Linked DNA regions of Kluyveromyces lactis. The protein of the gene in region 4 interacts with the protein of the main gene of each other region in a pairwise test. Links are inferred from orthologs where the notes say so. Each region holds a gene or a part of one and is shown on either strand. Other genes may lie near its edges. The genes, in order: VPS54, VPS53, VPS52 and VPS51.

Evidence for each region.
Region 1: the proteins of VPS51 (region 4) and VPS54 interact in binary tests that used the Saccharomyces cerevisiae proteins (3 or more experiments, as listed by UniProt). The link is inferred for Kluyveromyces lactis from reciprocal best matches to the Saccharomyces cerevisiae genes VPS51 and VPS54.
Region 2: the proteins of VPS51 (region 4) and VPS53 interact in binary tests that used the Saccharomyces cerevisiae proteins (3 or more experiments, as listed by UniProt). The link is inferred for Kluyveromyces lactis from reciprocal best matches to the Saccharomyces cerevisiae genes VPS51 and VPS53.
Region 3: the proteins of VPS51 (region 4) and VPS52 interact in binary tests that used the Saccharomyces cerevisiae proteins (3 or more experiments, as listed by UniProt). The link is inferred for Kluyveromyces lactis from reciprocal best matches to the Saccharomyces cerevisiae genes VPS51 and VPS52.

What each region holds. Positions count from the first base shown.
Region 1 is NC_006042.1:413,136-421,579, forward strand, and holds VPS54 (Vps54p), read left to right. Parts: upstream 1-2,978; coding exon 2,979-5,519; downstream 5,520-8,444. Other genes in the region: RPI1 (protein phosphatase regulator REG1), read left to right, coding at 25-2,583; KLLA0_F04389g (DNA-binding protein REB1), read left to right, coding at 6,130-7,917. UniProt on the Saccharomyces cerevisiae protein: Involved in retrograde transport from early and late endosomes to late Golgi by linking the vesicle through the t-SNARE TGL1 to the Golgi, leading to the membrane fusion between late Golgi and endosomal vesicles.
Region 2 is NC_006040.1:791,562-799,998, forward strand, and holds VPS53 (Vps53p), read left to right. Parts: upstream 1-3,463; coding exon 3,464-5,875; downstream 5,876-8,437. Other genes in the region: KLLA0_D09328g (serine/threonine-protein kinase), read right to left, coding at 1-144; chaperonin-containing T-complex subunit CCT8, read right to left, coding at 844-2,535; KLLA0_D09416g (uncharacterized protein), read left to right, coding at 6,182-6,775; spindle checkpoint protein MAD2, read right to left, coding at 6,893-7,483; Rab geranylgeranyltransferase BET4, read left to right, coding at 7,672-7,674, 7,764-8,437. UniProt on the Saccharomyces cerevisiae protein: Involved in retrograde transport from early and late endosomes to late Golgi by linking the vesicle through the t-SNARE TGL1 to the Golgi, leading to the membrane fusion between late Golgi and endosomal vesicles.
Region 3 is NC_006039.1:335,207-343,103, reverse strand, and holds VPS52 (Vps52p), read left to right. Parts: upstream 1-3,768; coding exon 3,769-5,553; downstream 5,554-7,897. Other genes in the region: YPQ1 (cationic amino acid transporter), read right to left, coding at 1-467; TRM10 (tRNA (guanine(9)-N(1))-methyltransferase), read right to left, coding at 1,104-2,000; RFC4 (replication factor C subunit 4), read left to right, coding at 2,497-3,459; HMI1 (ATP-dependent 3'-5' DNA helicase), read left to right, coding at 5,815-7,897. UniProt on the Saccharomyces cerevisiae protein: Involved in retrograde transport from early and late endosomes to late Golgi by linking the vesicle through the t-SNARE TGL1 to the Golgi, leading to the membrane fusion between late Golgi and endosomal vesicles.
Region 4 is NC_006040.1:184,656-191,259, forward strand, and holds VPS51 (Vps51p), read right to left. Parts: upstream 3,258-6,604; coding exon 2,709-3,257; downstream 1-2,708. Other genes in the region: KLLA0_D02156g (uncharacterized protein), read right to left, coding at 1-1,430; ILT1 (Ilt1p), read left to right, coding at 1,797-2,648; KLLA0_D02222g (uncharacterized protein), read left to right, coding at 3,695-5,611; KLLA0_D02244g (TTC39/IML2 family protein), read left to right, coding at 5,902-6,604.

The DNA.
Region 1 (8,444 bases), on a different chromosome or scaffold from region 4:
GATAAACACAGCACGCTTTGCATTATGCAGAATAATTTAGCGGCGTATTTTGCTCAGGGGAATGCTTCTCAGGGGAATGCTACCCCGGGTAGAGTCGCATTGAACAGAAGCTCATCGAATGATGAATACGGAACAAGCAGTGTAAATAAACAAGTCCCAAATTACGACGATATGGGTCCTTCTGTGTCTATGGCGGTTCATGCTGATGACGACGACCATTTCAAGAATTCTACGTTCAATTTGAAAAGAACACGATCCATGGGACTGTTGGATCCATACATCGACGATACTCAGAAACTTCTGGCAGGTTCGAGCTCTGTTGATTCCGATAACTTCTCTAACAGTAACATCGATGGCTTGAGTAACGACCTCAATAGTGGTGACAGTAGCGGGAGCATGAATAATATTAACAACAACAACAACAACAACAACAACAACAACAACAACAACAACAACGACAACGAAAACAAAACTGATAATATCAATAAAAACAGTAATAATACTTCTTATAATGACGATAACGACGGTAATGATACTACGCTTAATGACACCGGGCTGAATAAACACAATACAACTGTTGGCGGAACCGACGAAGACTACACAGACGAAAACATGCAAGTCGATAACTACGACGATGACTACGAAGCAGATTACGATTACGACTACGACTACAAAGATGTAGAAGATTCTAATTCTCCTCCAGACCCGGGTACTGACGATTTCCTAATTCATCATGATGACAACGACTTGATGTATGAACCCAATAGACATGTGGATTACTTATCTCATAAATGGAACGAAAACGAAATATCTCAGTCATGGCGTTATATCATTTTGAAAAAGAAACGGAAGGACACAGATTTAATCAATGCTGCAAGGTTGGAAAATGCTTCCTGGAGAACTTGGTCAAAGGCTAGAAATAATCTGAAAACTGTGAATCCAGAATCTTTGAACTGGTCAAAGGATTCTGATGTAACTTGGTTATACGGTCCGATTGTAGTGGGCGATCAAAATAACTCGACGTCGTCATCAAAGCCCACTTCCAACGTTGAAATAGGAAACAATCATGCGGCCACCATGGGGTATGGTTCCGATGATGAAAATTCAAAAAGGTTGATCCAAAAGTCTCAGAGTCCCGGTCCTAAACCTATTCTAAAGAAGAGAACTGTTAGTGAAATTATCGAGGAAAACTCCAAATGGAGATTAGATATAGCAAGGCAGCACAGAAAGCAAACTAGTGACTTGCATGCTATTTTGGATCCGCAGTCAAGTCAGACAACGCATGACGATTATGATGCTATTGCCGCGAAGGTGAATGCACAATATTACAAAAATATCCATACACCGCCTGATGAATCGGTGGAATCTATTTCGCCCGTTGTGACCGAAACAAACTCGTCGATAGTAAATACCACTCCAGGTCCAATCTCTGGCTCTGTGATAGAAACCCCATCCGCAAGATCTGATCCTCCCATATTATCATCGATTCTTACATCATCGATGAAGCAAAAGCAAAAAAGGGAAAGACATATTCATTTCAATGACCGTGTCGAACAATGTATTGCGGTTAATCATAACCCCATAGACGCTAATCCTAATGATGACGAAGTCCCAATGACAAATACCGATTACCACTCTGACGATATGTCGGACGGTGCCAGATCTTCGCATCAGTATTCTGACTTTGACGATGGATATAGAAATTCAGGGGCCAACAGCGTCGAAGATTACGCCGATGACGAAGATGATGAAGACGCTGACAGCTACGATTATGATGAAGATGACGACGAAGATGACGAAGATGATGGGTTATTTATCAGTGCACATACTAGAAAAAATCGAACCAATTCGGGGGCTAGTGATGGCACAGATGTTGCAAATTCTTTAAGATCACTCTCACTATCCAAATTTCCAAACGCAACTATTAAACCACTTCCAGCCACTACTCTAAACTACGGATCTGACGATGAATATTATGATGAAGACGAAAATGAATGGTATTATGGTAACGCAGTATCACACAATGTGAATACTAGCAGAGGATTTGACTACATGTATGATTATAATTCCGTTTACACGGGGGATACATCCAACTTTGTAACTGTGGACAATTCGTGTGATATCCTCGATGTACCGGATGGCATTGGATTAGATACTCCAATACAGGACGCGAATGACGGATATATGGATGATGACTCAAGAGGGAAAATATATACATACCATCAAAGCCTTCCGGTACAAGATGATAACGATGAACATCCGGACAACGAATTCATCGCAGATTCTTCCCAACCTGGTTTCAGTCATGATGACGAAGAGCATGACGATAACGGTGAAGAACTAGAGCTTACTGCAAAAGACCCACTATCATTAAGGCGAACCTCATCTATAGGGAAGTCTAGAGCAAATTCCATTCATGATTTTATCACACCTTCCAATTCTGCATCTCCTGTTTTAAAACAGACACATAGCTTCATCACTGGAGAACCTTTATCTCAACACAATTCGACGGTAAGAAGACCACCATTAAAATCTCCTTCATCGGGTAGCTTTTTATTTGGATCTGATTCTGATTCTGAGTGATCGCTCAAGTGCTCTTAGGTATATTCGGAGTTCATTTTTTTTATTGAGGTTAAACTTAAAAATACCACTCTACCAGCATATATATTTTTTTTTCACTACGTAAATAGTATTAATTAGAAGAACAACAATTTTTCTTGGTTTTATCCATCTGCGTAGATCTCTCGCTCAGCGCTTAATGCTTCTATTGATTAACTTGCTACGGTGTTTTATTTATGTTGAGAGAGTGCGCTTAATTATATACTCAAACTACCATGTTCACTTTCTTTTAGAAGTATCATTGAATATGTAAAAACTGAAAATCGATTAAAGTTCATATTGTAAACAGATACATACACCTTTAAGATGCATAGCAAAGAAAAAGCTGTTCCAACAGACTATAAACCAGCGAGTTAACTATGCCGGATAGGTTACTGGGAAGTGAGACACCAGCTCTATCTCTAACTCCTGATAGTAGGACGCAATTAAGTCGATCTCCACTATTGGTGCCCAGTCATGCCTCAGATGATGCTAGCTCGTTGAACGATGATCTATCTGTATTATCTAGAAACAGGGATCAAATAAGGGACAGTATGTCTATGAGGCGTAGTAGTTTTGATTCCACATTCAATTCTTTTTCTACAACGATGCATACCCAAAAACACGGTCTTGATTATTCACCGTTGGTTGATAATTCAATATATGAAATTGTGATGAACACCAGATTTAAAAGATGGTTGCGGCACCCAACCACCGAGGATATTCCCCCTGTAGTTCTAAGCAAGAACGATATTAAGGATAAATGGGACAAGGATATTAATCAATACAGAGATGACATTAAAGACGAATATAGGGTGTATCAATCGACAAATAATATATCAAAGTTGAACCGAATGGAGCAAATGAGATCTATTGATCATGATAAAACTGCCCTTGGATTGCAAAATACGAAAGCCAAGGCATTTGAAGAAATACCTGAATTCTATTTTGATAAGGAGTTCAAATTAGATCACCCCAATTTCTTTCGAATGCTTCTACGAGATTTTGAGTTTGATGCCAATCAACTACTAAATGATGATGATAAAGTTAGAAATGACAGCTATGAAGAGCTTCAAGGAAGATTGGCATTCTACTTAGATACTGTTGAGGGACTCCTTGTTTCTGAAATCTCCAAGTCTATACAAAGCTTTTTTGACGCTTTGGAAGACGTCGATAAGATTAGAGAAAATGCGACAGAGACAATCAACGAGTTGGATTCTGCTGCTGAGGCCCTTGAGAGGATAAATGGGGATAAAATCTCAAAAAGAATTGAGATGATTAAAGATCTCATAAGAAGGAAAAATGTGGAAAAGTTACAACAGGGGATCCTACAAGTAAAACTAGCGAAAGAAAAATGTGAAGAATGTAAAGAAATATATCAAGAAGAAAAACTACAAGAGTGTTTGAAATTGGTTAAAGCAGTTGAGAACTTAATAAATGGTGACAATGATGATCCCACTGTCAATGATTGGACCTCTCAGTGGCCGTACAAACTCACAAACATCTCAAGTTTTTCTAGTTTACAGGGCATAATAGACATGCTAAATAATCTGAAGGTTGACATCGGGGGATCTTACTCATTGAGTCTGGTTACCGTACTATTGGAAGATTTGAGGACGTATTCGAAGTCTCAATCGAAAAATGACACGATCATCAAATTGCAATCTAGGAAGGATAAGAACAAACCTCATTTAAAGATCGATGAGACCTTCCGAAAGCAAATCAAAGAAAATCTAATACAATTAATCGATTGTGATCAGTTGGTTCCGGCAGTGAAGCTATACGAGGATAAATTTATAGCAGAGTTGAAATCTGTTATTAAGGTTAATCTACCGCATGAGAGACAAACACCTGAAGAGTCGAAAGATGGCTCTAAACCAACTGCCGCCAATGGGTCAAGGCTATCAAAGTTGATTCAAGAACAATCATCTCAAGAGTTCCAATCAATGCTTGTAAATATATTCACTTCTGAAATCGAACTATTGAAGAGGTTAACGCGGCATCAGAAAATGCTATTAGACATTTCGCTAAGTGAATTACCGACAACGGCAGAGCAATCTGATAAGATGATTATTGATCTTGATATTCGGAAAAGCGTTAACGAGGGTATAAGGATAGTACAGCTTCGAATGGGGAAAATAATCTCAGTGAGACGGGATATCACATGTACATTACGTTTCGATCATTTCCTTCAGTTCTACGAGATATGCATGCTTTTCATGAGAGAGTGTGAATCTATAAGCGGTGAATTTCTAACGAAGTATCTTTCTGACGTATTGAACCTCCAAATCGATACATATTTGAAATCTTTACAAAATTTGAACATAAGGGTTTTGAAACAAAAGATCGATGTAGAGAGATGGACACCATTCATCGTCGAGCCCGAATTGCAAAAGGATGTCAATGATATTGTATCGTGTATTGACATTGATCCGTCAAATTGGACACGATTCATCGAGTTGAACAAACCTTCTCCATTAGACGAAACAAAGGATGAGAAGCAATCCTCTACCGGTCACAAAAAATCCGTTGTCTTAGGTGATAAGACATTCGTGGCAAGCGAGGCTCTAATCCTTGCCATCAAAATGATCAAAACTTTATTGGTACTCGCCTCAAACTTCCCATCACAGTATGCAAGACATTGCGAACGTCAATTGTCCGATGTCTTGAAATTCTTCAATACAAAGGCAATAGAATCTATATCATCATCACTGACAGACAGACTATCTACAAAGACAGATAAAAACTTGAATATCATGGCCGAATCACTTGATTGTCTAGCGGAAATAACGCTACTACTACAAGGGTATTTCCAACGTACGCTGGGATCTAAGACAGATAAGTACGAAAACATCTGGAAACAATTACAACAGTCCAGTGAGAAATTGTTCCAAACAAACAATATCCCGCCTCCTGTTTAAGACAAGTACTACCCATCGGGTAAACAGTTCACTGCGCATGATAGAATAGGTGATATCTCAGTTGTACTGAATATTTATGCATATATATTAGCAATATGAATCACGTGATAGTGTGGACTCACTATATGCGTCTGTGTATGTATCGTTACCCTGCTTTCCGTATAATATGATCGCAATTTCTAACGAGGGTCAACGTTTTCCAATGAACATCATGAAAACATTGACCCAACGAAGCTTTGAAAAGTTAGAGATTCTGATACTTTTGAATTAGAATGTTTTGTTTTGTTTACCCTGACAAAACACCAAAGTGATAGTTTTACACTGGTACCTTAAGGCGTGTGAGAGTATTAATCACTGTTCAAGTACGCGCGGCATTTCTGGTCTGTTGAGCGAGAGGCAAGTAAACTACGGAAGAGTTTTATTGACCTGTATTATTAGTAATTGCCACTTTTTTTCTAAGGTATCAATCAGTCTTATTGTCTGGGTATTCCCATCTTAAACACATTGTTTTAGGTTAAGCAGAGCATTTATATCCAGCTCGTGTCCATATTCCATTGTGATTCAATCGAGGTAACCGGGTCTTGTTAAAGCTTAATTGTTTTCATTGATCATGTCGCAGAACGATACGAACCATGAGTCTGTTGAGGAGGCTGTTTTCAAGTACGTTGGAGTTGGCCTAGAGAAATCTGGGGAAGACGACGCTGTGAACAAGCAGAAGTCCGTAGATTGGTTTTTGAAGGAACAAGACCAAGACCAGGACCAAGATCAGGATCCGGGCAGGGACCAGGACCAGGAGGATAATGCGAAACATCGTGATGCTAACGATGTAAGTGCAGTCGCTGCAGCTGCTGTGGCAGCTGCTCTTTCTGTGAAGAAAAGAGGCCGTCCAAGCGAGCAAAGTAGTACTGGGTCTAGTGGCAAGGGTAGTGGTTCTTCAGGTCAGAATAATAAGAAGTCTAAGAAGAATAAAAATAAGCTACATCTAGCTGCTGTGGATCCTGAATTAGCATCGTTAGATGATAATTTGGTCGATGGGAACGATTCGGAGGAGCAATCTCATCACCAATTGGTCCATAAGGCAATCATGGACACTGATAACATCGCTTCTCAACACCCGGATTTCCAACAATATTTGAACACGGAAGACGATCAAGAACCTAAGAAGGAAAAAAGCGAAGAGCGTTCGTATGGTGACCTTTCCAACATAGACGATCATGTAGATGACGTCTCAGTATCTGGTAGCATCCCTTCACAGGTAAGGCTGAAGAAAACTGCGGAAGTGTTGCCTAAAGTGCTGTCATCTGAATCTCATAACGACGATCAACAAGATGATGTATCAAATTTGATTCAAGAAGCTGCTGCCAAAGCTTCCCATATTATCAATCCGGCAACCCAATCGAATGGTAAATCTTTCGATGAGTCTGAAGAAGAAGCTCTAGAACAATTCATCAAAGAATACCAAAAGATCAGAGGCCTCTCGAGACGTCAAATTTGTGAAAGAATTTGGTCCAACGAAAGAAGGAAAGATGACTTCTGGACTAATATCTGTAGGGTGTTGCCTTACAGGACAAGATCTTCGATTTACAAACACGTTCGTCGTAAGTATCACATTTTTGAACAACGTGGTAAGTGGACTCCTGAGGAAGATGCCGAATTAGCAAGATGGTGTGCAGAGAAGGAAGGTCAGTGGTCAAACATCGGTAAGGTTTTAGGTAGAATGCCAGAAGATTGTAGGGATCGTTGGAGAAATTATGTCAAGTGTGGTCCAAATAGAGCCGCCAATAAATGGTCTGTGGAGGAAGAAGAAAAATTGAAAAATGTTATTCATCAAATGTTGGATAACGCCAGCACTGCGTACGAAGATGGTGAAGATGATGAAATGAAAGATTCATCTACTAAGATAGAGGATTCTGGAGATGCTGATATGCTGGATGTTCAGGATTCTGATAAGAAACCCTCTATTTCGAACTCTAAAAAGAAGCCAGCCGCAAAAGATATTATAAACTGGACTGTTGTAAGTGAACAAATGGGAGGATCAAGATCCCGTATTCAATGTCGTTATAAATGGAACAAATTATTGAAAAAGGAAGCCTTGAATAAAATCAAAAACATCTCAGATGACGATAAATTCTGGTTGCTAACTAAATTAAGAGATATGGGTTTCACAGAGGATTCTCAAGTGGATTGGGAAGAATTATCTACCTTAATGCCTGGTAGAAGATGGACTGGTACTGAGTTGAAATTATTATACGAAAAAGTCAGGACTACAGTTCGCCAATACAAACGAAAAACTATTAATGTGATCTGTAAAGAACTCGTTGGATATCCAGAAGCCTCATTGCCACTTGACGATGAAATACGTCAACATCATAGCGGTGATGATGAAGATAAGGATTGATCCTGATCAATACCTACAAAATAACAACTAAAGAGCTGTCATATTTTATTATGTCCACTCTTTCCATTTGGTTTTTGTAACATTTCATGATACCTTGTACCTCCCTTCAAGAAAATATTCAATTGTAATTTTCTCTAACAAACTTCATTTTTCTCAGAATATAGGATGAGGGGCAGGTCACCACGTTTTCACTTACCTGCGAATCATAAAACTTAGTTGGTTTTATTTTTATTATATTTAACAAAGGTTAGTATTTTTTATATATAAGTCTGTATTAGTATGCGATAATATAAAACAATTATCACTCTTCCATAACCAACCAACTTCATCAACGAGCACATTAGCTCAATGGTTAATGGATTGTTATAGCGCTAGCATGAATTTTCATTAACCCAAGTTGAACTGAAATAGAGGCGATTTTAGTTTTTTTTATCTGTCCAGTTACTTTGATTCATTAATTCTGGCTATTTTATATCAAAAGCACAACGATAAGAAGGAAAGGTAAAATATATACAGATTCCTTCTGC
Region 2 (8,437 bases), about 610 kb from region 4:
CGAAGTATTGGACATGGGGAACTCTTCTCGATGCATCGAGCCAAAAATACTGCTTTTTCGTCTGGGATTAGCAGGTTTGTGCATTTTACTTTCATCCATTAGTTGCCAACGAATATCTGGCGGCAGATCAATTTCTTCCACCATAACTTGATGAATTGCCAAATCAAATCAGCTTATTGAAAGTACTGATCTAATAACGGGATAGATACTGACTACCCACAGAAGGAATACGATTTATATTCAGTTGAGTCCCAACTGTAATAATCGACTATTATTATTATTATTATTATAATAAAAAAAATTAAGGATCAGGTCAAAAAAATCAGTACCGACTCTTTTAGCTTTGTCTTATATCTAAGCAATACGCCCGGATAAGCACTTTGTTCCTCAATCGATATACTTGTTAATTTCTGGTTCTCCTATTCTTTCTCGGGTCCAGACCCGCATCGTATATTTTTCTTTCGCTAATCGCTAACGTAGCTTCAAATCGTTGAAAAGTTTTGGTTTTTGTCCTTAAAAGTTGTCATCGATATTTCTGTGAAAAGGAACAGTAATTTTGGAAAAATGGAATCAGAACTGTGTGAAAAATAATTTAATTTTACATTGACACATATATGGAAAGGATGGTAAGATATATAATTAATATCACGTGATTTAGAGGATGTCTAAGAGCAACCATAAGAATGAAATATATAATGATATGCGGTATTGATACCGTTTTCAAGACAGTTACAGGTATAGCTGTGAGTATTAAAATTATATCTGAATTTTTTATTTGTGGTAGGGGAATTAGTGTACAGAAGAGAGAACAATTATGCGCTTCCAAGAGGACAGATGTTCGAATCAATCATCTTGGTCCCAGTTACCTGGTTTTGGACCCTTTGGTACGGCTGGACCACCAGCTCTCTTGGCCATGATGATCTGGTCAACTGAAAGTACTGTCTTCGCAGCCTCTGTGGCGACATCGATAGCGAACTTCTTAGCAGCTAGTAAATCATAAATGCCTTCATCTCTGATATCTTTGATGCATTCCGGGGTATTGTTGTCTATATCAATACCTTGGTACAAACCATCGTTGATTTCGTTTGACGCAGTTTTTTGAGAGTGGGCAGCATATAAGTTTGGTAGTACTTCATTAACGTTTAGACCTGCAGTTTCTGCCAACGTTCTTGGTACCACTTCGAATGCAACGGCAAACTGTTTGATGGCAAGTTGCATTAGACCTGGCGTCTTTTCACCATAGTTGCTGATTCTTGATACCAACTCTATTTCAGTAGCACCGGCACCTGGAACAAGTTTTCCACCATCCTGTTTCATTAAACCCTTAATTGCATTGACACCGTCATCAATGGCACGTTCGATATCGTCCAAGTTATTTTGCGTAGCACCTCTTAAGATGATTGTGGCAGTCCTAGTGTTTTCGTTCTCCTCTTGTTTGAAAATGGTAACTCTATCACCACCAATTTCTTTCGTCTTTACGGTCTCAACAATACCAATTTCTTCTGGAGTTGGGGCACCTAGCCTTGGCATTGGTGTAGCACCACACACACGGCAAATTCTTCTAAGTTCGAATTTACTTGGCACCTTTAGGACGAGAATATTGTATCTGTTCAAATAATGTAAAGCAAGCTCACCAACACCGGCACCAGCAACAACACATCTAACACCAGTCTCGGCAATTTCTTTCATCATTTGGTCCAGTTGTTGTTCTTCACCTTTAGTGAAATCTAACATCTCCTGAGCATTATGTAAAAGCACAGTACCCTTGGTTTCGGTGTTTGAGATATCAATTGGACATGTAAACACAGCAACCTTATGCTTTTCACCTTGAGGCAAGGACTTCAAATGTCCTTCTGGTTCGCGGTTGAAGACTAAACCCTTGATAACAGATGAGTTGGTAAGGGAACCACCCATAATCTTTACCACTCTAATTGAGTCGACATTGAAATAGTTGGAATTTGGTAGCAAGACATGTGCCACAGCGTCTGATACTAAGGAACTTAAAATATCTTCAGAACCATATTGCTTGGATGCAATGACTGGCTTGATGACCTTGATTAACTCACTTTTTTCATGTTTGTTCTTGATATCCAACACAGACATCTTGTCAAGTTCTGCCAAAGTAAAATTCTTTGCCATTGTGTAACCTTGAATAATTTCTACAGGTGAAAGACCTAGCGCAATAAGCTTTTCACTAACATTCAAAAGCTCACCAGCCAACACCATAACAAGGTTAGTACCATCACCCATATCAATTTTTTGTTGTTCAGATGCCATCACCAACACTTTAACAGCAGGATGGACAATCTCTAATTCCCTTAGCATGGTAGCAGCATCGTTGGTCACAATGTGCTTTCCCAAATGATTAATGATGATCTTGTTTCTGCCGCATGGCCCCATAGAAGTTAAACACATCTGGTGAATCTCTCTAATGGCAGCGATCGATTTATTGATTTGACCATCAGCATTAGAGTACGAATTGTACCCTTGCTTGAACAATCCCGCATTAGGATTTTGAGGAAGTTTCAAAGACATGCTGCTTTTCAAGGATTTGTGAATTATCTGCTTTCCTTCCAAGGTATAGCTTTTCCACGTACAAGTTTCGTCTTCGCCACCTTTGTTCACGCACTGTTTTCTATATTTCAACTATGTTGTTAAAAGATACTTTAGCATTTTTTTTTTTCAGTATTGAGAGATATGCAGAAAATATGGGAATGCTTTAGCCAATAGTTACTAGGGACAAAGTGTCTGAATAAGGCATGTGTACATGTGTGTTTCTGGAGATCTGAAAGTACTATCATCTTACTCTAAAGAATAGGTATGTAGCTGGGTGATGGATGCATCCACGTCAACATCCTAGGAATAATCATAGCAGAATAGAGTTATGTATCTTAAAACTTCGCTGATCCTGGCAAATCAAACCATTTCAATATATAGCTCAGGAAGGCACTTACTCTGTTGTTCTGCCATATGCAAAACATATGTTTGTAAGAGCAGCATCGTTGGCTACACACTGTAACTCGTTGAGCAATAATATATTATGCAGTGCGAAGATTACATCGTTCTGGTATATGTACAGTGTCAATGAAGCTACTCAAAGGAATTGCTTCAGTAGCTCAGTCGGAAGAGCGTCAGTCTCATAATCTGAAGGTCGAGAGTTCGAACCTCCCCTGGAGCATTATTTTTTTCATAGTTAAAGGGTTTGGAACTGTCAATTCACCTTTTAAAGACTTTGTATTTTTTTTCGATATTTCTGATATCAGACTTTCATAGTAATTATTGCATACAGAAACAAATATAACAAGAACCTTTGTTGTATCATCAGTAAATGACAAAAAGAGCCAGCAATTGTAAGTTGCAGAGGTATAATTCTCCCTTCTCTATCCAGCTCCTCCCCATTATTGTTTCCTGTATTAGTATCACGCACATTAATTTGAATTGAATAACTAGAACTTAACAAGTAATGATTTCAGAATCTTTGGAATACGATCCCTTACACGATCTTCAACAGATATTCTCGAAGCAGGAATCTTTATCAGATATTGATAACCTAGTGCTATTAACCGAAAAATGTAAATTTAATTTAGAGGAGCGGGTACGAGAAAGCAATAACACCAGTTCAGAAGTCAATAGTTTAGAAGACAATTATGATTTCCACAAGTTGTTTGAGAAGATAAATTCAACGAAGTCTCTGTCACAGATTACTGAAGCAACCATATCCGACTTGACACATGATATTTCAGATTTGGATAACGCTAAGAGGAATATAACGAGATCGATGACGTGCTTTGAAAATTTGAAGATCTTGAGTGATGCATACGTGAACTCTAAAAAGTACATGCAAGCTGAAAAATACATTGAAATGTGCGGCCCCTTTAAAGTTATGCATTCCTTATCTGTATCTTTCCACGAATATAAATCTTTGGATGAGTTTTGTAAGTTTCTAAATCAAATTCATCGTTTAGAGAGTGATACACTATTGGTGTGTGAGAGAGTAACGAAAGAAGTGCTTAGGGATGGGTCTAACAGTAAATATGACAGCAAAACGATGAAAGACGGTATATGTTGCCTTGCGGACACTAATAAGCATTATAAAGAAAGGATTGTGCAATTGTGTTTGGATTCTCTATTGTATGAAATTAAAGAAATCTTCCAAATTGATGATGAAGCTGGTTCTTTGGAGAATTTGTCTAGACGTTACATCTTCTTCAAAAAAGTATTAAATAATTTCCAGTCTACTTTCAGCGAATATTTCCCATCAGAATGGGAGATACCTTTGAAACTAACGGATTCTTTCTTCACAATGACGTCTAACGATTTGAAAACATTATTGAAGAGAGATTTGTCCGGTACCACCTCCATTGACCTATTCATGCAATCGTTACAAACTACCTTAGAGTTTGAAAAATACATATCAGTGAAGTTTTCCCATATATACGAGGGTAAAATATCCACTTGCTTTGAGCCATATTTGAAATTATGGGTTAGACACCAAGATTCATCTTTGAACGCCAAGATGTTGACATATCTTAATGAGACCAAGCTCCCAGCTAAAAATGAATCGCTTGTCGTTCCATCCAGTGCAGACTTGTTTAGAACTTATAGACACATTCTTTCTCAAACTTTCAGCTTGATAGAAGGCGGTAATAAATCGACCATAATGGTGGAATTGGCGGTTTTCTTCGTCAAATGGTTGAATGAATATTATGAAAAGATTTTGAAACCATTGTTGTTACCTGAGGATACACAAATCGATGATAAGAATGAAGTAGTGAAATATACCGTTCTTCTTGTCAATACAGCAGACTATTGCGCAAATACAATTGATCAATTGCAAGATAAACTCTGTGAATATCTTGAGAATGATGAGCCAAATATCAACAAAGTTGCAGCCATTTTTGAACCTACAAGGCAAAAATACATGGATCTCGTATCGGGTGGTATCAATTTACTACTAAATCGCATCCTGAAGAAAGATTTGGAATTTGTATGGAGGGAGTTCACAAACACAAATTGGGCTAATACAATGGTGGAAGATTACAGCAGATATGTGACTACCTTACAGAGTATCCTCCTACCAACAAGATCGGAAAATTCAACATTTTACTCCACTGTTTCTCAATTCAATAGAGATCTTTATGGTTGGAATTTTATTGATAAAACTATTGATTTAATAGCTATCTCTTTTGAATCTCAAATTATAAAGCTCTTGAAACCAGCTTTACCATATGGCACTCTTAATTCGAAAAGACAGTTCGATGTGAAGCAAGTGATAAATATCGCAGAACAATTATTGTTAGACGTTCAACTATTGAAGACAACGTTGCATTCACTTCCGGAAAGTTTACCGCAACATGACACATCAGCTAAAAGAGTCACGAAACACATAGATAGTAATGTGGAAAAACTAATGCATCTTTTAAAGTTACTTGTCTCTCCTATTGACCCTGATACAACATACTTGGAAACCTATTATGCAATAACCGCAAGTCAGAATACAAACTCAAATTTCTGGGCATTTATACTAGCGCTAAAAGGTGTACCTTGGGATTTGGCACTTTGGAAAAGAGTATGGTCAGAATTTCAACAATCAGATGATGATACTCAACCGATGAAACCAGATGACCTTATTTTCAACCCTAGAGAACTACAAAACTTTATTTACAATCTATCGAGGGTATCAGATCCATCATGGAAAACATTTTTGGAGGAAGACCTCAAGATTAAACCTGTTCCACGTCCTGATTTATCCGTAGCTATACAGTCCTCCCCTAGTCCACCCACTGGGTCTCCATCCCCTAAGATTCCTGGACATAAATTGAATGAGATAAAAAACCTTATGTCAAACTCCAGTTTTTTTTTCAAGAAGGGCTAACTGCTTCTGTAGAGAAGCTTCCACACGCAGTTTGACCAACGAAACAGCAACACTACTTGTAATACTACCTTTACCTCTGTAGCAGATTTATCAGTTTAAATAGGCTTTTTTTAACATTTTCGAGGCATGTCAATGCGTCAAGTCAAAATGACACAGAAAACTCGAAGATATTATTTACTTATGAATATTAAGATATATCAGTTAACCTGAGCACTTACAATATATCTGATTATATGACAAAATGTGCCGCACAAGTTGGTTCGGCTATCGACTTTATTTTGAAATCAGACCTGGTATCCTCATGCAATGATTCCATTCTTCTACATAATGATTTTTTTCACTATAGCTGAAAGCACGCTTACAGATGCTGAGTTTAAGGAAATTGATATGTTTATAGATGTTGTTGGTGAATCACATTTTGCTCTGATGTTTCCTGTGGAATTGATCAGAACCGATTTGAATGATACGTTTGACCCAAAACAAGTTTACGATATTTTTGATGAATTAGCTGAAGAGCGCAAAGAGTTTCAAATAGTAAAAGAACTTGATATACCTGAGTTTGTGGCCGAACCGCTTTATGATAGGCTGACATATCTCTCAGTCAAATTGGATAATGGATACACCGTAAATCTAGCAAATGAAATAGCAATAATTCAGGATATAATCCAAATAGCAGCAGAGTCAGACAACATTAAACTCGATTTTACTGCTCTTCTTAGAGTTAAAGAAGAGTTGAGGGTTGATATGGCAGCCGTGTCAAAATTAAAGTTGTTCAAAACGTGCTTATTGTCCAACCTTTTCCCATTTATGCAGGAAGAATGCGAAGGACTCTTAAGACAAAAGCTAATTGAACATCTCAAGATTTGGATAGAAGTTTGGAAAAGACACCAAGATGATTGAATTAGTATGAGCTTTCTCGAGTTGAATTAAGTATTATGTGCCTTTTCTACTATATCTTGTTCCTATTTGTAGCATAAGTATTAAAAGGAAATGCAATAAGTTCAGCCATTAATTTTGTTAGAACTTATAAGTGACTTCAGCTCCCACTGAATAGGCCGATGTACCGAAAGACTTGAATTGCACAGATTCCCCCTTCGCTATTTCTTTTGAATCAGAATCTGTCCATTCTAGTGGAACATTCGCATTACTATCAGTATAGGCCAAAACATTGAAAGTATAGTTACCTTCATTTTTCAATTCGGGCAAGAAAGTGACACTGGCTGTTATCTGTCTAAGTACTGCCCGAATCTCCTTTTGGGTTTCCTCTAATGGAATGTTCATATCATCATCAGTATCGTTCTTGTTGCTGTGAGAATCTACGTTAAACTTCCATCTTTCAATTGTTTCACCATCATCCTTATCTACTATACACAGAACAAGCTGGTGACATTTACCTCCCAATAACCACCTATGAACCTGCCGGAGAATTTCCCGTATGTATTGTTTAAGTTCTGTATCTTGTGTTTTTAATAAGCTCAAATCATACTTCTTAACTGTAGCGAAGTCTTCTGCCGGGTATACTGCTCGTTGATATAATATTGAATTTATACTATATTCAAAGAACTCAGTAACAATTCGTGTCGAACCTTTTAATGATATCAAATCCATGTTTCCAATTTTACTTTCCAGTCTCTTCTGAATCCTTGTTCGTCGAAGCAAGTTCAAAAAACATATGTTATTGAGCTCATTTTAAACTACTATTTTTTATAATTAACATTCAAACTTATAAGTTATGATTATGATGAACAGCAAATCAGAACGTTAAACTCAATTCCACAGAGACTCGAGGACAAATAATGGTATGGCAGACCTCGGCACTCTTTTCAAAGAAGATTCTCATAATATACAATTGCAGATTACTAACATTTACAAATTGAAATGAATTCAGCATGGTGTTACACGAAGAGAGTGGACAAAGGAGTTATTAAGGAAGAAGCGCGAGAAGGAGAGACAGGAAATCCTCGATTATCGAGAATTATCAGATGAGGTTTTAGAATTGAAGAATAAAAGAGTAGCAAACAAGGACTCTCTTCTGAAGACTACCCAGTTACTTAATATCAATCCAGAATTCAACACCATCTGGAATTATAGACGTGAAATTATAAAACTACTTGCCCCATCACTGGATCAAACTTTCTGGGATGGGGAACTTGCTTTCACTATGGACAAATTGAAGGTTCGTCCAAAAGTATACTGGATATGGAATCACAGGGTTTGGTGTTTAGAGCATTATCCTAATTCTCCCTTGAAAATCTGGTTGAAAGAATTAGCCATTGTTGGCAAATTACTGGAAATGGATGCGAGAAATTTCCATGGATGGCATTACAGAAGATACATCGTAAGCACAGTAGAACGCTTAAGCGGAAACTGTCTAAATTCACAAGAGTTTGAATACACAACCGCGAAAATAAATCAAAATATCTCTAACTTTAGCGCGTGGTTCCAACGAACGAATATAATTGAACATATGCTGGCGAGAGATCAAATAGCTGACAAAGAGTCCTTCATCGACGATGAATTTCAGTACATAAAGAATGCCATGTTCACTGATGCTGAAGATCA
Region 3 (7,897 bases), on a different chromosome or scaffold from region 4:
GGTTTATCTGCATTTGGAGCAGTGGCTTCAGATGTTGTCGATGAAGTCTCCACATAAACACGACGTTCGTTGTGTTGGTGTCCGGTAAGCAAAGGCTGACGTTCATGAAAAACATCTTGTAAGACGTTTTCGTTGATTGGATTAGCTGGTGATAGATGTACAGGGTCAACAGGTCCATCTTGACCGTAAAACAAGCACTGAATCAAAAGAATTATATCAGCAGCAGTATAATATGCTGCCAAAATGATCATAGTGGGTAGTAAATGCTGAAGCATAGCGCCAAGTAAGTTGAAAATATCACCAGCAAGCCATAGCACCACAAACATAAGCGAAAGACCTTCTGCCGACTTCCTATAGAAGTTTTCATAAATCTGTGGAACGAAAACGATGATCCAACATGCAATAGAAATGGAACCTGTAATCCCAGAAACAGTCTGGGAGTTCAATACTATGGGAACTAGTTGCATTCTGTTTGTTAGGATTTTTTTGGATGTCAATGGTAGTTTCAATCAACAGGTACAGATGATGACAACCAGAACTCGTTTCAACTAGAACTTTTAGTAAATTTCTTCTCTTCTACTTCCTTTGATCATATACTAAAACTAATCAAATGAAATGAGAAACAATATATTTTACTATTTTTTTCTCTAAAGATGTTACCAGTAAAGAGAGTTTATATATCAGCAGTAACTTGAACTCTCAATACTCGCTTGTAAAATGAATTCGTTACTCAGTGCATGACGCAACTCGCAAAGTTTCCTGAGAACAGAAGACCATTCTTTGCTTGAAAACCTTTCTTTTCTATTGAGATGAGGGTACGTCCGGAAAAAAAAATGAAAATTCCATTGGAAGGAAAGATAGTCCAGTCAAATAGAAGTTAGTCATGCGTCGTGCGTGATGTTTTGTACTGTCCTCAAAGAAAAAATGAAGCCCTTGGGGAATTCTAGATCTGCAAATGGATATGTTTGTTGCCGTTTGCAGTCATTGGTAGGGTATGAGTGTGGTTAAAAACCGAAGACTGGTTTTATAGCTATGTAGTCTACTTGTCAGATGCCCATATGCAAGGTGTAATTAACGTACAATTATATAATAAAGGGCTGGCTCTATTCAGCAGAAGCAGTTTCAGAGTCTTCTTTTGTAGAGTCGACTTCGAGTTTCCTAGGTGGAAGCACGCTTTCGAATGCTTCCTTCCAGTCCTTGTTGTCGAAGTATCTCAACATTAGTTGGACCATATGGCTGGTAGTCAACACTTTCCTTCCAGCAAGATTGATAAATTCTCCGATAGGAAGCCTCTTGGTTGGGATGTTAAGTTCCTTTGCCTTGTTGTAGCATAGGTTCTTATGTCTGTTTTTATCTACTATACCACCTACGATATAAGTGGTCCCTGGTTCTAAAGTATCCAGTTTTTCTTCTGTATCAGCAGTCAGATAGACGGCATTCTCAGTGGGCAAGGTTGGATCTGCAGTAAATTCGAAATTTTTCCACTTGGTGTAGTTAGAGTTGCTCAAATCGTTATCGAATCGTTGTTTTAATCTCTTATCGAAAGATGTCACTTTAATCTTGGCGTAATTATTCTCTCTTTTGTTGCTAGAATAAGCTCTAGTGACTTGTGTAGATAAACTTACAATTTCGCGATCGTTCATTAAATCATCGAAGGAACAGTCAAGAATAATAGATATGCCGGAATCACTTTGATTCAAATTAACTTTTGGTGGACGCTTTAATTCTTCAGGGATTTCTTCGCCTCTATCAGTATATTCCTTGAGCTTTTCCCTACGTGCCAATTTGGCACGATTTCTCTTCTCTTTGCGGATTTGTGCATATTCTGCCCTCGTCTCTTCAAAACGCTTCTTCCTGCAGATCTTCTTCCATTGTGATTTTGATATGCCTTCCGGAGGAGGTGGAAATTGTGGTGCCCTAACTATCGGCTTAGGTTTATCTTTGACATCTGAGGTATCAGCTGGAATCTCAGCATTTGAATTTTCACTGGTATCAGACATTTGAGCTTGTCTTCAATTCTTTATTCTCGAAGGACCATCTGCGATGAGCTTCCATATCGTTGGAATCTTTGAAAGCTTTCTCTAAACATTCGTTTCTTCTTCTGCATTTTTCATGTTGATAAAGTTTGAAAGTCACGTGGGTTTTATGTCACTGGATAATCGCTTCCTGTTTCGCGATTAACACAACGATTCGAATTATATCAATCCCGAGAGCGTGACACCATATTAACGTGCCAAAATTGATACTAGTAAGTATGTCCAAGCGCCTGATTGTACTTCTTCTCTTCTTGTTTTTTTTTTGGTTTATCAACATGTATTTATATCTAAATCTTTGAAACTTTGAAATGTAGAGAGCATTTAATTCACAGAGCCAAATGAAAATAATGGTTCTGTCGAGGTTGAAAAGAAAATACATAACTCTGGGTCACTATCAATTGACCGATTAATAACTATAACAGGGGGTTCAGATCAGTTCTTAGAAGATTGATTTTGAAAGATGTCCTACGCTACCAAGTTGGAATTACCATGGGTTGAAAAATACAGACCGCATTTATTGAAAGATATTGTAGGGAATGAGGATACGGTGCAACGGCTACAAACCATCGCTGCTGATGGTAATATGCCTCACATGATTATCAGTGGCCTACCAGGTATTGGTAAAACAACTTCGATACACTGTTTGGCACATGAGCTATTAGGTGATGCGTATTCACAGGCTGTATTGGAGTTGAATGCGTCTGATGACAGAGGTATCGAAGTCGTCAGAAATCAGATAAAGCATTTTGCCCAAAAGAAGTGCACGCTACCAGCAGGTAAGCATAAGATTATCATTTTGGATGAGGCAGATTCAATGACCAGTGGTGCTCAGCAGGCTTTGAGAAGAACAATGGAGTTATACTCTAATACGACGAGATTTGCTTTTGCATGTAACCAATCTAATAAGATAATTGAACCTTTACAATCTCGTTGTGCAATACTACGTTACTCGAAACTAACTGATGAACAGGTTCTCAAAAGATTATTGGAAATTATAAAGCTGGAAGATGTTCAATACACGAATGATGGTCTCGAAGCTATTATCTTCACTGCCGAAGGTGACATGAGACAGGCAATAAACAATTTACAAAGTACAGTTGCTGGTTTCGGTTTAGTAAATGGGGAGAACGTTTTCCAAATTGTTGATTCCCCGCATCCACTAATAGTCAAGAGAATGCTATTATCTGGATCTCTCGATGAATCGCTGCAATATTTAAAAGAACTTTGGGTTAAAGGCTACTCTGCGGTAGATATAGTGATAACTTGTTTCAGAGTAATGAAAAATCTCGATGAAGTTAAGGAAACGGTTAGATTGGAGATGATCAAGGAAATCGGCTTTACACATATGAGAATTCTTGAAGGTGTCGGGACTCATCTTCAACTATCAGGTATGTTAGCTAAAATTCAAAAGCTTAAATCGTAAATAGACTATTACCACATAATTAACATCCAAAAAGTAATCATAATGATTGTAAATATTTAAATGACCCAAAGTTTTCAAGCTTGGGGACCTATAGAAAGCATATAATTAAACTACTCCCCCGTTCGCTCACCGTCAGCATTTCGTTTTCCTGATGTGTGTGTGTATTACAACTTTCAGAAAAAATACGAAAAGCCTGAAATATATCAAAAAGAACATCGACTACACCGCAAAGAATACAGTTGGAAAAGAAAGATACTTCAAATTGTATTACACTCTGTTCGTGACAGAAAACCATATATTGAAATTATAATGGATGTTTTAAGCGATCTGTTAGAATTAGATGCAACTGAACTTCAACTGCCAGAGGATTCTCCATCAGGTAAAGATGATAACATTGATACTTACCGAGCCTACGTTGACTCGACCCTAAAAAAAGAATATCAATTACATACTGAATTCCTCAAGGAATTTGATGATCTCATGGAAAAGAACCAATCAATACGTACCTCTACTGAGACACTTATACCGAGTTTGAAAAATTACTTTGCCGAATTTAACAACAAGTTGAACGATTTGACTAAAGATCTCGATTTCGTTAAGGGTAAATTTTCTGAGTTTTCATCGTTACTGAAGAGTAACTCTTCGAAGTTGAAAGACATAAGTCCCATCGTTAATGATTTGATAATCTCTCCTGAAATAATATATCAAGTGTTAAGAGGCAAGATTGATCAAAAATGGATTGATTGTATTGATTATTTGAACGATAAACAAGAGATATTCCTGAAGTATCAAGAAGAAAATAAATCAGAGAGACCAAATGATTTCGAACAGTTGAATGAAATCTTACAAATACTAAAGGCAGTTTCTGCAGAAAGAGCTAAAAAATATATTGTGATAAGAATTAAGAGACTGAGGGACGGACATCCTGTGCCAGCGCAAAGAATTCAAGAGGAACTACTTCAGGTCAGAGAAATCTATCAAATGATCTACAATACCAAGTCGGACATAGCTACAGAATTACGAGAAGCATATATTAATACGATGAAATGGTATTATAAGACATATTTTGCAAGATATATTAGATCTTTGACAATTTTACAGTACGTCCAGATAGATTCTCAATACGCATTAGGACAAGGTCTTTCAAATACATCGGTTTCAGGATCTTATTCTAATTATCTTTATGCCAGTGGAAGAACGCTCTTTGGCGCACAAACTGCTTCCCACTTTAATGTCACTGATGACAGCATTAACGACTATTTCCAAATATCAAAACGGTTGGATCTTATCACGCAAGAAGATAGGACAGTTATGGTATCGCAAATTGCAGAGAATAATCCAATTGCCAATTACATCGAAGTTGGATTTAAAAATTTAAACTTGGCATTATTAGATAATTGCACTGCAGAATTTATGTTTTTGAATGAATTCTTCAGATTACCAACTGATAAAGGTGATCTAATACGAACCATTCTTCTGGATATCTTCCAGCCAACTTTTGATAATGCTATGGACTTCACGCATCAATTAATTGATACATCATTCGATATATTTGGTGTCTTAATCAGCATTAGAGTTGCACATAGACTACAATTCGAAGCGCAACATCGTCAAATCCCGTGCATTGATGATTATCTTGATGGTCAGTTGATTCTTCTATGGCCAAAATTTCAGAAACTTGTGGATTTCCAGTGTGAACAATTAAGATCTGTTTCAATAACAACCAACGTTGCCCGTGTTAGAGGTGCTGGAACCGCTTCAGACCCGTTAGTAACGCCTCACGAACTCACGGTACAGTTTTCCAAATTTCTTCTCAGTTTATTGAAACTATCGTTAACCCACAAGGAACTTTTAGATGAAAGGGCAGAACCGTTGTTCCACTCGATAAATAGAATTCGTGATGATTTCGAAACAATAATGACAAAATGCAGCAAAAAGACTAAAAACGCTGATAATTTCCTAACCACAAATTATATGTATATCTACAACGCCCTTCAACAATCGTTCCTCAGAACAGATTCTGAAAAGGAACCACTCATCCTCTCACAAACGAAAACTCATCTTTCACAGCTACTAGAAGCATATAGTAAGTAAATATATATATATATATGTATACGAACAACCATTACAGTATCTCGTTACGAATAACACATTCAATCTTCGATTTATTTAGTTGTGCCGTTTCTCGTTTATTTTAAAAACGTCAATAAACATAAACAGTTTCTACTTTATTTTCGGTTCCATATATATGCTAATTTGAGATGACCGAAACAGAATAGCTATATGAACGTCGAGTGACGAGGAAATCCATTGGGCTGATCCACTCAACATAGAGTGTAGTCTGTGGTCAATCGTATGATGAAAAGGCCAACTGATTCGCAGAATGAAATTATCCAATTCCCTTATATACCTGCTAGCACTCTGAAAGTTATTGCAGGACCCGGTTCAGGTAAGACATATACATTGCTATGCAAAGTTCGAGAGTTGATCCAAACGGGGCAGGTGAAACCCCGTGAAATTATTATTCTATCTTTGACTAATAAAGCAGTTGATAATATTACAGATAATCTTCTAGGCGTCTTTCAGGAATTAAGCGATAAACCGTACACTGACCATGAAGTTGATGACATTGTTTCCCAAATTGGTATTTACACGATCCATGGCCTCTCGAACAGGATAGTTACTGAAAATATGGGTATTGTGAACATAATCGAGGAAAACGGTTGGAGAGGTCTAGTCAAGCTCATTCCAAAAGATTTTTGGAATAAGAGAAATGTTAATACTGCTAATGACCGGATCATTACGAAGAAGCTTCAGAAACTTATAAATGAATACCAAATTGACACAGATAATATTGATGAGACCATTGAAAAAGTAACAAAGTTAATGAAGCATTCAAATGTTTTGACTAACGATGATTTAATCAAAATGGCTGTGGAATTCTTAAAAGAGCCGAATTCAGAAGAGGATACTGCATTCACCAAATTTGTACTAAATGAAGCCAAAGTTTTAATTATTGACGAATTCCAAGACTTATATCCAGGTATATTTAAACTATTAAAGACATTACTTGGTCAAAAACACTTTTTAATATTTGGAGATATCAATCAAAGCATTTATGAGTTTTTGGGAAGTAACAAAGAAGTCATGTCTGAATTGGACAGGTTAAGACCTGATGATAAAAAATTCACTAAGTACATCCATGACAATTTCCGTAGTACACCAGAAATAACTGCTGCAGCCAATGCTGTTATAAACCAAACCGTTCCTGTTCAGATTAAAAGAGAAAATATAGTAGAAAAACATCCTTCCGGAGTTTACCCCATCAAATACAATTGCGAAGAATTAATAGATGAATTGGACTTCATTGTGAGTGAAATATGTCAGCTAGTTTGTTCTTCTGCAAAACTATCTGACATTGGCATTTTAGCAAGGACCAATTCTCATTCAAAGGCGATTGCTGACCACCTTTCAACATTCGGAATTCCCGTTTCAAAATTAACAACGCAGCCAGATTGGATGTCAGATCAGCGGATAAGATTCATGATTGATTTACTTCAAGTCGCTGTTTCGGTCATAGAAGAAGCTACACTGCCTAAAGACGCGTCTTTCACCATGAAAACTAAAAGTAATTTCAGTGTTATTGTTACTTTAGCAGCTTTAAAAGGATTTGGTAGTAACACCCTTCAGAAATTACATGAAAATGCCACAGCCACAGGTGCATCAATCTGGCATTTTCTAACAAATACACCTGTTTCAAAGTGGGGGTTTACTCCGGCAGTTACAAAAAAACTCGAAAACTACTTGCTAGCAGTATCAACATTAATCAACGATCCTCCTATTTTGGAAGTTGAACAGCCGCACATCTTAATAGATAACTGCTCATCTGTGATTTCAAAGTTAGATCTACCGTTATTCATGTGTGACAGTAACTCTGAATCAGGAAGTTTCCAAGTAAACTTGAAAGAATTCTATTCTGCTATAAAATTGTCGCTATTATCTAAACCGCAAGATCTTCCTACCGCGACTTGGTTTTTAGAAACTTTTCACGATCAAAGCATTATATACCATAACAATCAGAAAAGTATTACACAGGAACAGAATACTTTAGGCAGCGTTAACGTATCCACGATTCACTGTGCAAAGGGACTAGAATTTCCGATAGTTTTCCTAATGGGCCGCACAGATTATGGAAATTTCCCAATTGAAACTAACGCATTATATGTGGCCGTTACTAGAGCTCGAAACCTACTATATTTAATGAACGTGCAACATCGTTCATTGTCAGCATTTCCTGACCGACAGTCATCATTACTGCAAAATCAAGCGTTTTGGAAATATTACAATAGTGATTTGAAGAGGCCGTTCCATGCGTCAAATGTTAATAATGCTATGAAGTTCAAAAAGTTGCAGACAAAATTCGGTTTGATGAATAGAT
Region 4 (6,604 bases):
ATGAGTTGATCAGTCTCTGTTCCGGAGAACGCTTCGTCAAGTATCATAATTTCCGGCATCTTAACCGCAGCCCTAACGAATAATGCAATCTTCTGTTCGCTAACAGATAGGGATGCGAATGTTTTCTTCGGGTCCAAATGGAAATAATCGATATACATATCAACAATTCTTTTCTGTTCGTCTGTAAGTGTGTTATGCGCTTTTAAAAAGTTGTTGGAACTGACTGCATGGAACCCTGATGCCACTGTTTCTAACACAGAGAGGTCACCAGCGTTCTTCAAAAAGAGAGCGTGCATCTCTGGCGAAGAAAGACCAATCCTTTTATTAATGTCAAAGAAGTTAGTGCTTCCGGTTCTTCTAGGAACGCCGTGGTCAACAAATTTGGAGTTCCAAGACTGTGGATGGTCTGCAGTGATCAAAGATAGCAAGGTTGACTTACCAGCACCATTATTTCCTTGAATATGCCATTTGGAACCTTGTTTGACATCCCAGTAAATATCTTTTAATACTGGTTCGCCACTGTATGTAACCGACAGACCTTCTAGCGTGACTACTGATGGAATCTTCATCACATCATGATGTGGGCTTTTATAGTACTTATGTGGCGAAATCAAATCCTCAATAGTATACTTACTCTTAGGTTTGTTTAGCTGTAGTACTTCTAACAATTGCAACCTCATTGATTCAACTTGGTCTCTATACTGCTCCATGGGACCTTGGAACTCTATACCATCCTTGTCCACACACACCACGTGCGTACACCAGTCTGGTATTTGATCTTGATACCTCAACCCTATGATGACTGATGTACCTTTATCATATTTGGACAAGAATTTTGATATGATCGAACACGCAGATGGATCCAATCCCAAAAATGGATCGTCAATAATTGTTAAGTCAGGTTCCTTCAATAACGAGCGCGCAAGCCTAGTACGTCTCATTTGTCCATTACTCAACCCCATAGCCCACCTATCTTTGATGTCAATAAGTTTTAACTCTTTCAACAAATACGTTAATAGCTCTGGATCCACGTATCTGTTCGTAGTCTCAACCTCATAATTTACTGCACGAGATCCCATTGAATTATCAAGAATAAACTTCTCGCATGTCTGATCAAATTCGTCCTTGAAGAACTCATAACGGGCACTCAAATGGGCTGTAGGCATCACACCTTTAAATTTAACTTGTTCAATCCGTGGTAACCGACCCTTTACAACTTTCGCATAAGTAACTGCCGAAAAAGGATCACTTATGTACTTGTTAGACAAAATATCAATGAACTTCTCCTTTGATGGACCCCAAATACACCACTTCTCACCTTCATTGATCTCAAACCGGATCTTGTTCGGAAATACATATGGAGAACCTTTCCTTAAGGATGATTTGAAAAAGGCATCAGTGATCTTAACAACTTGCTTATTAAGTGTCATATCCGAAAGTGAGACGACTGTGGTTACAGTGAATGATTAACGGAAGAAATGCTGTAAAAGCTTGGTATGCTTTATATTTCCGTTGATGCAACTTTCTTTGTTATTGCGACAAACTCCATCAAGGAAAGATTTTTTATATGATAGAAAAACCTTAGACATGACTCATTTCAACAATGATTTAACGAAATGATTAGAGACGCAGGAATGGAGATTATAACGGTCTTGTTGCGTTATCAGAAAGGTTATGGAAACCGTGCTCTACTAGAAATTTTGAAGGATATTTGAATGATAAGACAGAAAGCCCGTGCTAAAGATAACATACAAGTTGAGGAGCAAGTGGTTTAGAAGTATTACTGTCAGTTCTGAATGATTTCTGAAAAAGCAGCGTATGCTTTGGCTACTCTTGGAACGGTATGTTGGTGTGTACAATTGATTCCACAAATTATTTACAACTATATCAGGAAAGACTGTACAGGGTTCCCCCCCTCAATGATGTTTCTTTGGGTGGTTTCTGGGGTACCGTTTGGAATCTACTTTCTAATAACAAGAGGTAATATAATTCTTCAGATCCAGCCGCATTTATTCATGTTTTTCTGCTCATTATCATGGGTTCAATCATTATATTATCCCCCTTACAGTCTCTCTGTGAAAAAGATCTTGCTTCGATGTATTTTACCCATGATATTATTCATTGTCAGCTTTGAGATAGGGTTTACTCTTTGGTTAAGACCGGTGTATGATCATGGTACTCATTGGCCAGCGCTAGTGATAGGAATCATTGCCACTATTTTGCTTGCAGCAGGATTGATCCCACCATATTTTGAGCTTGCGAAACGTCAGGGACGTGTCGTTGGCATAAATTTCATATTCTTGTTTGTTGACTCACTTGGTGCATGGTGTAGCATTGCCAGTGTTATTGTAGGGAACATGGATATCATGGGAATTGTATTGTATGCTGTCGTCGCAGCGTTAGAGCTCGGGATATTCGCTTCCCATTTCATATGGTGCTGCAGATTTAAATGGTTTGGCAATGGTACTGGTGAATTCGATGATGACGATGTCGGTAGCACAAGCAGTTCCGTAGGTATAGAAATAAACGGAATCGATGGCGACTCTGCTGAAGACGGGATCTTTGCAGGTCCTTATATTAATAACGAGCAGGATAAAGATGATATTGGTAGTAATAATACAAAATCTATGAAAGAACAAAGATCATGATAGTTGATAGGACGAGGATGATCTGGGAAATAAAGAATATACGACATGCAGCGCATACCGTCACTGTTTCAACATGGGTCGAGCCATATTGCACGTTTCTCGCAGTTGCTCCACTAAGGATTCATCCAACTGAGTCATCTCTTTTAGTATTTCATCCACTTTAATCAAATCGTAATAATTATCGTATATAGTATTCTTAATGGCATTGTCTGCTTCAGTTTCCTCTGCCAAGAGCAGATTTTGAACTTGCAATAACTGCTTCAAAGACTTCTTTGTTACATCTATATCACCCTTTTCCAGTTCTAACCGGATCTCTTGCTCTGTATCTTGAGGTGATTTGCAGTTTTCAATGGGTGTAGAAGCAACGACATTGCCAAGATTAGCGCTGGTCACGCCAGAATCAATGTCAGCACCTGATGCTGGTATCGACCCCGTTGTTACTCCAGGTAAAACTGACGGCGATGGCGACTTCGTATCAGCCTTATCCGATTCAGCAGTTGTTTCTCCAGGCTTATTATCCTTTTGTAGTCGATAATACTCTTTCAATAGCCTTCTCTTCTCATTATCTACCCGTTTCAACGATTTTTTATGCGTAATTTGTTCTGCCATGGTCCCAAGAAACACAAACTCTCTTGAATATTACTGAACAGGCTGTAGGCTTGGGGTCCTGTATCGTCTAGACATTCAATTACCCGTTAAGGCTACCTTCAAAATGGTTAGTCCAAAGGTAATTAATGTCAAGCTGAAATGTCTAAAGTATGATGAACGCACTCAAAAAAAAAAAAAGCAGGTCACATGACTACATCACGTGACCTTTATCTTTCCCGTTTCTTTAAAGGGTTTAGCTTCTAGACAGGTTCCATCAAACGTATTTATATACACATTTATGTACATCCCGCAACGTTTGCAGAGAAAATGTCAAACAGATCAACGAAACACCCTCAGATACAGGAGAAGCGATTGGATGACCAAATAGTGGATCTGATACTTAAATAACTCTTCTGTTTTTGGTCTGAGATTGTGAATTTTGGCGCAACAGACCGGGGATGAGGTTTAGATCCCGACATCAAGTGGATAAACCGAACGTTATAGTGACACAAAGCAATAGAAAGAATGAGGATCGATTGGGTGAAGATGCTTCCCTGAAAGCTGCTCAGGCAATGTTCAAGAAACATACTGTGAGCCAAGGGTTTGCAGTATCGGATGCACCAGGGACAAAACTATCTTTACCCAATTCAGGGCATGGTACGCCGGCACATAACGTCCAGGCTATGGCAAGGTCCTCTTCTTCATCCTCTGCAACTTCTACTCCGATAAACATTATTAGAAGAAGTCCGAGATCTAGTTTAAAGGGCAAACCGATGGGCGGATTATCTGTTTCCCCACGGACTGTCGAAGGTAATGCAGCGTTATCGCAGCAAGCTGCGGCTGTAGCATTGGAGAATGAAATTAGTGGTGATGAGTCTATTGTTTTGGTTCCAGCTGGAAACTCAAATGGGAGTATGACGCGGAGTAATAGCAGCATTAATGCAATTCGAATCGTTCCAGGTGGTGGGTTGTCATCTTCTCGTAGCTCATCGAAAGTGTCAATAGTCAAAAATTCACCGACTCATTCTCTGGCGCTTGCTGATAAATTAAACTCGATAACTTTGGAAAGCGTTTATGGAAAACCTAGTACTGCTACTGGGACTGCTACTAGGACGTTGGCCGGGCGTAAGGCGCCTCCAGCTGCTTTTATAGACCAGGATTCCGTTCTTTCGAATGATAAACATAGTGAAAATGAAGACACACCTATCAAGGGCACTATCTCTTATGACACTACGGCAAGAATGAATGTTCCTGTGACTTATGAGGGTACACTCCCAGATCTTATACCAGGTCATCAGAGACACAAAAAGAAGAAATGGCGTAACATTTTTGGATCAAGCGCTACGCATGGCAGCTCCGCTGGAGGTGCTATAGGGATAAATGGCACCTCTGCATCTGGAAATGATCAATATGAAAATCCAAGTGGTACTTTATCTGAGTTACAGTTGAATCGGGCAGAAGATAATCTTATTGTGAAAAGCGTCAATCCAACGCAAAAGACTAGGCTTCAAACCACATTGAGATCTAATGATTACGATAGAAATTCAGAATTGGCTGCTGTCGCTGGAGGATATTCTTCGGATGAATCTGCATTCTCATCTGACTCAGATCGGGAATTGCATTATGCTACAGATAATCATCACAATAACAGCATCAACAATCATTCCAGTGGCGTCTATTACGGCAACGTTGGTGGTAATGGTGTTTATAATGGGGGTACGGCTGGTGTAGGAAGAACAAAACACAGGGCAATGGTACGATCTCACAAGCGCAAATCTTTCAATGAGGACAAGCCGTGGAAGTCTCATGTGGATATTGGATACATCAGTGAAAGAGAACGGAAAAGATACGAGGGAATTTGGGTCACCAACAGAAACAGTTATTTGGAACTTCTACCATGGTGGAATCAGCCGCTACAGGATGAAGAGCAAGAACAGGAACAGGAACGAGAAATGGATCATGAATCACAACATGGACTAGAAGAAGAATTAGAAGAAGAACGGGAACAAGAATCGGGACAAGGCCAAGAACAGGATGCAGATATTCCGGAAGATGGATTGATGTTGAACCTTATTGTAATGGAAATTTGGTCCAGAAGTAACCTTTCGAATCAGTTGCTAGGTCAAATTTATGATAAAGTGGATACGAGACACGATGGTACCTTGAACCGACAATCTTTTCTCACGGGAATGTGGTTAGTGGATCAATGTCTCTATGGACGAAAGCTTCCGAAACAAATAGATCAACGGGTCTGGGACAGTGTCGACAAGTTTGTCATCAGTATTCCGAACAATAATCCGCATCATCGTCACAGAAGAAGGAAGAAAATGCTTAGGAAAGAATTGAAAACCATTAAGAAGGACCTTAAAACTTGAGCATCATCGATAAATACTCGGACGAAGTCATACAGCTAGATATATAGAGACATACTTTAGCATTGCAGTGTGCCGGCAATGTACAAATATCGGGCTCTATGTCTCTCTTTTCTTGCACGTGATTAGCACAAGAAAGCAGGAGGTACTAAAAAAAGGCTCAAATTAGATCCATTCACAAGAACCGTCTCATCAATGATCTGAGATTTAAGAGAAGAAATTAACCTGCCAAGGAAAGGACCACCATCTGCTAGAAGTCAGTACTAGCATCGGTAGTACATTGTGTGATACTGATGTTTCGTGTTTTCAATGCTTTAACAGGTGCTGGTTCGCCTAAGGCCACGGAGCTTTCTGGCGAGGAACGAACCAAGTTTATCCTACAGCAGGCGCATGATTTTGAGATAGCGTTGCAAGCTATGGATTATGTCCTTGATGACAACGCGGAGGTGGGATTGAAGTTGCTAGCTGATAATCAGGCTACCAGTCCTGGTGATGCAACGGTTGGAGCGCTTGCGAAAGGTGTTATTGAGTTCCTTGAAGCCACTTTAGGATTCGAACCAGAGGTAATGAAAAAGGCCTCCACGACCCTGGCAGAAGCTGAGCAACTTTCATTGAAAAGTAGGGCCAAGCTGCAAAAACTTAATATCAAGACGAGCTCTTTATACCCACCGGGTACAGAATATGCAGTTACATATACCGAGTCATGTTTGCTCCACGCGTTGTTAATGCTATTCAGTGAATCAATGGTGGAAGGAGCTAAGGCTTTGTTCAAGCTAAGAAAGGCGTACCACATGCTTCAAGATATACTTAAAGAGATTAATGCATCCGAAAAGAGAAAAAGAAGTAGCATTTACCTTCAAGAGATCAATGAATCAACTGCCAGTTTTATTTCTTCCGGCACTTGTTTCACATCGTATGATATCCCATATAAGCTCACTCCCGAGGAAGAGCAAGACAAAGAACTCCTAGATCTCGCCAACAAGGTATATTCCCTGA